Linked DNA regions of Arabidopsis thaliana. The protein of the gene in region 2 interacts with the protein of the main gene of each other region in a pairwise test. Each region holds a gene or a part of one and is shown on either strand. Other genes may lie near its edges.

Region 1 (2,999 bases), 6.7 Mb from region 2:
GCTAGAAAAATTCTTTTGATTTGGGTTTGCTTCCTCATTTAAGAGGCCCCTAATATATTATTTGGATTTGTGCAATGTTTCAGGTTGGTTGAAGCCATGGTTAGACAGTTGTCTTATCTAGCCATGCAGGACAAGGACAACCCAAAAAGGCTTCACATTCTGCCTCTTACCTCCATAATGTTTTTTTCTGCGTCTTTGGGATTCCTTTATTTTTAAAGATTAACTATAGTCAAGGCTAAAAGGTTTGAAATACCGGGTAGTATTACAAAAGTGAAGTCTTTTATTTAGTTTTAACAAGTCGTTTGAGCTATTGTTTCTTTCTATGCCGTAGACTGATCAGTGGTTACAGTGTTGTGATGCGTCTTCAAGGAGCTGTGGTTTCATGACTCTTTCATGATCCTTTTCCAGCTTTCCAACTTCAATAATAAGTCTTTGAGACCTTAAGATGAGATTTTCCTTTTTTTCCATTTACACAGGTTGCTGATTTTATTTTAGCATGTTTTGTGTTGTCAATAGGTAGATTAGTTCAGGATTTGGTCTGTGGACAATGGACAATGAATTTTGCACTCTCTTGTTTTATGAGCAACACAAGCAAAACACACAACATACAAAAGATACAAGTATGAACATAGGATACCGGAGATAGGTGATAATCTGTATCACAGGTTAGTGCTGATCTCAGAAGCAGCTCAAAGATGACTTCTTGGGTATCTTTCCTGCGGCTTGAAACCTAGCAGCAGCTTCTTCCGCATCAAGGATCTCTTGAGCCCGTCTGGTTTGAACATCTGCCTTCTTCTTTTGTGCCTTTGCATGAACTGCCGCTTTTTCGTTCCTTAGTTTCTCAGATTTCTCCATCTTCTTACTGTCCATCTTCCGCTGTAGAAAACAACAATTTTTTCGTCTGTATGTTAGTTCTTTGACGACATGAAATGTCATGTTTCATAGTCTTGTACCATTTGGTTAACTTGCTGTTTAGATAGATTCATGTTTTTGATCATACACTACAGGCTACAGCAGTAGAACAGTCTTAAGCATACATGAGTACATAGATCATATATTAGGAATTGGTAGATGTCTTTTGTGGAATCACCTGAATTCTAGCGAGTTCAGATTCGATCTTTGTAGTTTTCTTTTTCTCCCATCCTGAAATATCTAGTAGCTTCTTCTGAGTCCTGCAATCAGAGAATCTGTCACAGTGGTACTGAAACGACGCTGAAAAGTGTTTGTGTTGTGACTTACTTGTTATTGACCTTTGTTATCTTTAGTTCCTTCCATGCCTTAATAACTTTTGACTGCTCATCTCCTATGTGGTATGTAGTAGGTATAAACTAAAAATTAAGATACAACATGAAACTAAACAATACTAAAACTCTGTGATATGAGTTACCTCTTTGGATCGGAATATTTGGCTCCATTTGATTGAGAATGAGTTTCAGGCTTTAAGTTCTAGTTGCTAGTTAAATGCACATTTAGGTCTATTTATAGTGATGTAACACACATGTTCGATTACAAAAGGTGAAAATTTGGAACTGTCGGTTTCAATGCATTGGTGTCGTTTTATGTCTTGAGGGAATATTTGAAAACCATCGTTCGTTTTAAATTAATATGTCGCAAGGAATAAATATATCACAATGCTTGCAAGCTAGCGAATCTTGATATGATTGGCGAGCACTAAGTGTTGTTCTAATTGCTCTTAGTTTATAATTTGGTTAGTTTTTATAATCCTTTCATTGAAGAATGGAATCCCCCATATAAAAAAATAAGATGCATGTGTTCAATATATGCCAAAGCATTCCATACCAAGTCCCCACTATGGAGTAATTTCACTATCTAATATCTATCTTTGCAAAATAATTATCATTCTTTTTTTTCTTTCTTGTGAAAAACAAAACAATTTAAAGACATTGAATCCACACAAAATGTAATATAGCGGACAAGCAAAAGCAGAAATGGTCCAAGAAAATGGCATGTTAAAGCTTAACAATTTGAAACGAATAAAGGATGCATTAGAATGTTGTTGTTGCTCAGAGATTGAGTCGTCCTTTGATGATGTCAAGGCTCATCTCACTAGGATCAGTTGCTTGCAATTCAACTTGAATTCCTTCCATTTCTCTCTTGAACCTGTCTTTTGAGCTTGCATACAACATCTTACTCCGAACTCTCGATGTATCAGGTGACCTGATCAATACAACACATTCATGAGCATTTGAGATCATGTGGAAAAAAACATGTTAAGGAGAGCAATGTGTTGTTACCACGCGATGAAAAAGATCTTGCTCTTCTGACAATTGTCCTCTGTGGTGAAATCAAAATCGTAGACAGCGTATCGGCATTCGTCATCGGGGATAGAGCTGGTAAAATCGTCGTAAGTTTCTTCTGGATTCCCAAGCTTTTCTATTTGCACTTGCTGTGCCTTCTCATCAATTTTGAACACAATGAACCTGTAAGTCCTCTTTGCTTTCAACTCTAAGAACTTAATCTTGCATTCATCATTCACATGCATCCCAGACGCTGAATTAGCCTGCACAACACACACACACACACACGTAGTCATTTATTTATATATTAAGCTGTTTCCATTCTATACATCTTCCTAACCAGTTACCATAAAACTTAGATTGTGATTTAGGATCATAGCATATAAACCATATGTCCACAACATCATTCTTAATGAAGTCAATATATACATGAAACCTATTCATGTGTTACACTTCCAAAACCAAATAACACAAAACCATATATATTCAACCACACCATCCACATATAAATTTCACATGTTGACAATCAGAACATAAACAGAATCAATGCATCATCATCATCTACATCAGAAGATTAAATGTAGGAACTTACCATATTTTCTTTGGAGAATCGAACTCTAATCTTGTGTTTGATGATTGGGAAAAATGAAGAGGATAGGGAAGAGTGAGGAGGATTGGGGGGGTTTATGAGGTTGAGGAAAAACACAAAAGTTGGGTAATATTTGATATTTTCTTTTGGTC
Region 2 (5,190 bases):
TGGGATGATTAGTTAGATTCAGTTGTAATATGCAGGGTACGTTATCAAATGGAACTGAAGTTGCAGTCAAGAGGCTGTCAAGAACTTCAGATCAAGGTGAATTGGAGTTCAAGAACGAGGTGCTTCTTGTAGCAAAACTTCAGCACCGGAATCTCGTTAGGCTTCTCGGTTTTGCTCTGCAAGGAGAAGAAAAGATACTCGTCTTTGAGTTTGTTCCCAACAAGAGCCTCGATTATTTCCTCTTCGGTAGTACTAGTAGTCTAATTTTCCTCTTGATCCAATATTCTTGAAATCTTAAGCTTGGATTTGCAAATGGATGTGCAGACCCAACAAAAAAGGGTCAGCTGGACTGGACAAGACGGTACAACATCATTGGAGGGATTACACGAGGGCTTCTCTATCTTCATCAAGACTCTAGGCTCACCATCATACACCGTGACATCAAAGCGAGTAACATTCTTTTAGATGCTGATATGAACCCGAAAATAGCGGATTTCGGGATGGCTAGGAATTTCAGAGATCATCAAACTGAAGACAGTACAGGAAGAGTCGTTGGAACCTTGTTAGTATTCTCCTTATTATTTACAATGGGCACAATTCTCTGATGAACGGTTTTTGTTACTGACTAACGTAAACATTGTCATGTATATATTTGCAGCGGTTACATGCCTCCAGAATATGTTGCGCATGGCCAATTCTCTACCAAATCCGATGTCTATAGCTTCGGAGTATTGATTCTAGAGATTGTTAGTGGCAGGAAGAATAGCAGCTTCTATCAGATGGATGGTTCTGTTTGCAACTTGGTCACATATGTGAGCTGAAATCTAAAATGCTTTTTTTACTTTCTAACTGTGATCATCGATTCTGAATACGAGTTTGTTTGCAGGTTTGGAGACTTTGGAACACTGATTCATCTTTAGAGCTCGTAGATCCGGCGATTAGCGGAAGCTATGAGAAAGATGAAGTCACTAGATGCATCCATATCGGACTTTTATGCGTTCAAGAAAATCCTGTGAATCGACCAGCATTGTCTACAATATTCCAAATGCTCACTAATAGCTCCATTACTCTAAATGTCCCTCAACCACCTGGATTTTTCTTCAGGAACAGACCTGAGTCAGACACATTACGCCGTGGATTGGAGCCAGACCAATATAACAATGAATCTGTTACTTGTTCTATCGACAATGCAACAATCACTACACTCCTCGGTAAAACTCTTGCTTCTGCACTCTGTTGTATTACCTCAACTCTATTTTCAAAGTCAATGTATAGAAACACTGAGGATTGAATTATTTTTGAATATTAAAAGTTATCTCATTTTGATTCTGGTTTATGTATTCACGTTCATTTTTTGTTAAGAATAAATGCTTGGCTCACCTGCCCAATAACATCTTTTTTTGACCAAATCAAGGTTCTCAAAATAGTACGGTGAATGAAATCAAACTAGGCTATCCACTGTTTTATCCTCACATGTTTCTGCTTTGTGTCTTCCTTCACAAAGATGCAGGGACTCAGTATTTTAGACCCAACGGTACTCATTCCTTAATGGAGACTAAGAGATTTTTAAAACAATAGGAACCGACGACTTAAATACTTGTGTTTGGTCATTGCTTGTTGCATTGTGTTTTGGAGTAAGTTAGAACGTTTTGGTGTCAAATAGGGCCTAGAAGAGCTACAGATCAAGAATTGGTCTACGTTCACTTTCATCATATTTACCTAACGTGTTTATAAAGTATTAAATTATCCAAAACGTTGACCTAGGTGACTTGTGCATTAATGCACGTATCCACTACTTGACGAAAATTCTACACGCGAAAGCTGTTTTGACCAAATCAACGTTCCAAAATAAACATTTCCTTTTAAAGATTCAAGTTCTAAGATCTGCAACAAGTATCTGAGCAAAGTAAAATGTCAAGAGAAAAAATGTGTTTGAACACTCTCTGTGCAATCCTCTGTTTTGTCCTTACCGTTAGTTTCGGCTTCGTCTCTGCCCAAAAATGCGGGGAGTCTGTGTTTTTCAGACCTAACGGTAACTATGACACTAACCGTCGTCTCGTTCTATCAACGTTAGCTTCCAACGTCAGTTCTCAAAACAACCGCTTCTACAACGTTTCGGTCGGTGAAGGAGCTGGAAGAATCTATGCCTTAGGTCTCTGTATCCCAGGGTCTGATCCAAGGGTGTGTTCCGATTGTATCCAACTCGCGTCTCAAGGTTTATTACAAACCTGTCCGAACCAGACCGACTCATTCTACTGGACAGGCGACAACGCCGACAAGACGCTCTGTTTCGTTCGTTACTCTAACAACTCGTTTTTCAACAAGATGGCTCTAGAGCCAACTCACGCAGTTTACAATACTATGAGGTTCCAAGGGAACCTCACAGCTTATACAAGAACATGGGACGCGTTCATGAACTTTATGTTCACCCGAGTCGGTCAAACTCGATACCTGGCTGATATATCCCCTCGGATAAATCAGGAACCTTTGTCTCCTGATCTTATATACGCGCTGATGCAGTGTATTCCGGGGATATCTTCTGAAGACTGTGAAACCTGTCTTGGAAAATGTGTCGATGACTACCAGAGTTGCTGCAATGGGTTCATAGGTGGAGTCGTTAACAAGCCGGTCTGCTATTTCCGGTGGGATGGTTATAAATATTATGGTGCCTTCGGTGATGAAGCGCCATCTCAACCCCCCACGCCGCTTCCTCTTCCTCCTCCTCCTCCTCGTGATCCAGATGGAAAAAAGATCTCTACAGGAGTTATTGTGGCTATTGTTGTTTCCGCAGTTATCTTCGTGGTGCTAGTCGCTTTAGGATTAGTTATTTGGAAGCGAAGACAATCATACAAAACACTGAAATATCATAGTGAGTTACTTTTTTTGTTTTTGTTTTTTTATCACTCTCACATTACTTATTGGAATGCATATTAGTAACCATGCATATGTTATATATTTGCAGCTGATGATGATATGACAAGTCCACAGTCTCTGCAATTTGATTTTACAACAATTGAAGTGGCAACAGATAATTTTTCGAGGAACAACAAGCTAGGTCAAGGCGGATTCGGTGAAGTTTACAAGGTATATTTGAGCTGAGCTCTACATATATCTATGACTGCTTGATTTGCTGTGAAAACTAAGAACTTATAAGTTTTTCATATGTAGGGAATGTTACCTAATGAAACAGAAATTGCGGTAAAGCGTCTATCGAGTAATTCAGGACAAGGCACACAAGAGTTCAAGAACGAGGTTGTGATTGTGGCCAAACTTCAACACAAGAATCTTGTTAGGCTTCTTGGGTTTTGCATAGAAAGAGATGAACAGATACTTGTCTACGAGTTTGTTTCCAACAAGAGCCTTGATTATTTCCTCTTTGGTAATAAACAATAACACTTGGTTTAATTTATGTTCATTCATCAAATTTTCTTATAATTATAGTGTAATTTAGATCCAAAAATGAAAAGTCAACTAGATTGGAAAAGACGGTACAACATCATAGGAGGGGTTACGCGAGGACTTCTCTATCTTCATCAAGACTCAAGGCTAACAATCATACACCGTGACATCAAAGCAAGTAACATACTTTTAGATGCTGATATGAACCCTAAAATAGCTGATTTTGGAATGGCAAGGAATTTTAGAGTGGACCAAACTGAAGACCAGACAGGAAGAGTTGTTGGAACCTTGTTAGTACTCCGATAATCTCTTTAAAATTGATAAACCTTTTTCTATTTGTTTGTTTCTGATTAACATAAACCTTTTTATGTTGTATATTTGCAGCGGTTACATGCCTCCAGAGTATGTGACACATGGCCAATTCTCTACCAAATCTGATGTATATAGCTTTGGTGTATTGATCTTGGAGATTGTTTGTGGCAAGAAGAACAGCAGCTTCTTTCAGATGGATGATTCTGGGGGAAATTTAGTGACACATGTGAGCAGAAAACAATTTAAAATTTTACTTTGTTTAGATTGTGACCATCAAGGATTTGGATTCTGAATATGAGTTTAATTTCTTGGCAGGTTTGGAGGCTTTGGAACAATGATTCACCCTTAGATCTCATCGACCCTGCGATTAAGGAAAGCTACGATAATGATGAAGTCATTAGATGTATCCATATCGGAATTTTATGTGTTCAAGAAACTCCGGCAGATCGTCCAGAGATGTCTACAATCTTTCAAATGCTTACCAATAGCTCCATTACTCTGCCTGTGCCTCGACCACCTGGATTTTTCTTCAGGAACAGACCCAATTTAGACCCCTTAACCTATGGATCCGAGCAGGGGCAATCCAGCAGCATGTCTGTTCCTTTTTCTATAGATAGTGCGTCAATCACTAGAGCCACTCCTCGGTGAGATGATTGCTTTTGCACTAGTCAGTAGCATTTTACTTGTAACACAAGCAACTCCAGTTTTCAAAGGTCCAGTTAATTTTTATGGTAATATGGGTACATATAAAACCAAACTTATGTGTAGCCGTGTAGGTAGAGTATTCCTTTCTTGTTTTTTCCCATGGCAAGATGAGAATTTGTCAAACCTCAAATATGATACATTAACCTCTAAGAACAACCACTTACGAACCCATTTTTTTACTTCTTCAGTCATCTATGATAGTCACCAGCTTGCTTATTCAGCTTTTTGCTCCCCCAGATTTTCTATAAAGTGGCAACAAATTTTATTATTTCCCCTGAAATATCCATGCAACTACACTTATATTATGATGATGTTCCAATGATTTTGATCACCAACATTTGTAGATCTCTAAGGTTTTTATGTTTCATCAAACTCTATCTAGCAGCTTCACATGTGCTAGTATATTTGTAACGTCTCTCATCCAAGTCCTCTCTTTCAAAGACTGGTTTTCGCTATTTCAAGAGGCTATAAAGACTTCCGGAAGCACACTTAATTAACTGTGACAGGATGTTTCACCGAAAAGATAAGTGGACTTTGGTGACATAGATTGCCTCTCCGAAGCACTATATACACCACTATATTCCTTTAATAGAGGTGTTACAATATCATCTTGATAAATATTACCAACAACATGCTATTGCTTGAACACTAAACGTATTAACTCATAATCGCTAACGAATTTGAACATACGTCTTGAAATAAGACCAAGAATCGACACAAGCTAACGAGTTCTCCTATATCACGCGTGGTGTGATCTTTAGCGTACATGTCAAT

The links.
Region 1: the proteins of CRK31 (region 2) and AT4G00670 interact in a protein complementation assay, tested with the Arabidopsis thaliana proteins (one large-scale study listed by BioGRID).

What each region holds. Positions count from the first base shown.
Region 1 is NC_003075.7:277,756-280,754, forward strand, and holds AT4G00670 (Remorin family protein), read right to left. Parts: upstream 1,443-2,999; 5' UTR 1,416-1,442; coding exon 1,388-1,415; intron 1,304-1,387; coding exon 1,240-1,303; intron 1,173-1,239; coding exon 1,091-1,172; intron 983-1,090; exon of another isoform or gene 877-982; coding exon 679-876; 3' UTR 561-678; downstream 1-560. Other genes in the region: ADF8 (actin depolymerizing factor 8), read right to left, coding at 2,025-2,178, 2,256-2,554.
Region 2 is NC_003075.7:6,965,803-6,970,992, forward strand, and holds CRK31 (cysteine-rich RLK (RECEPTOR-like protein kinase) 31), read left to right. Parts: upstream 1-1,906; 5' UTR 1,907-1,911; coding exon 1,912-2,869; intron 2,870-2,962; coding exon 2,963-3,084; intron 3,085-3,168; coding exon 3,169-3,379; intron 3,380-3,451; coding exon 3,452-3,689; intron 3,690-3,783; coding exon 3,784-3,937; intron 3,938-4,026; coding exon 4,027-4,359; 3' UTR 4,360-4,667; downstream 4,668-5,190. Other genes in the region: CRK30 (cysteine-rich RLK (RECEPTOR-like protein kinase) 30), read left to right, coding at 36-255, 325-562, 659-812, 887-1,291.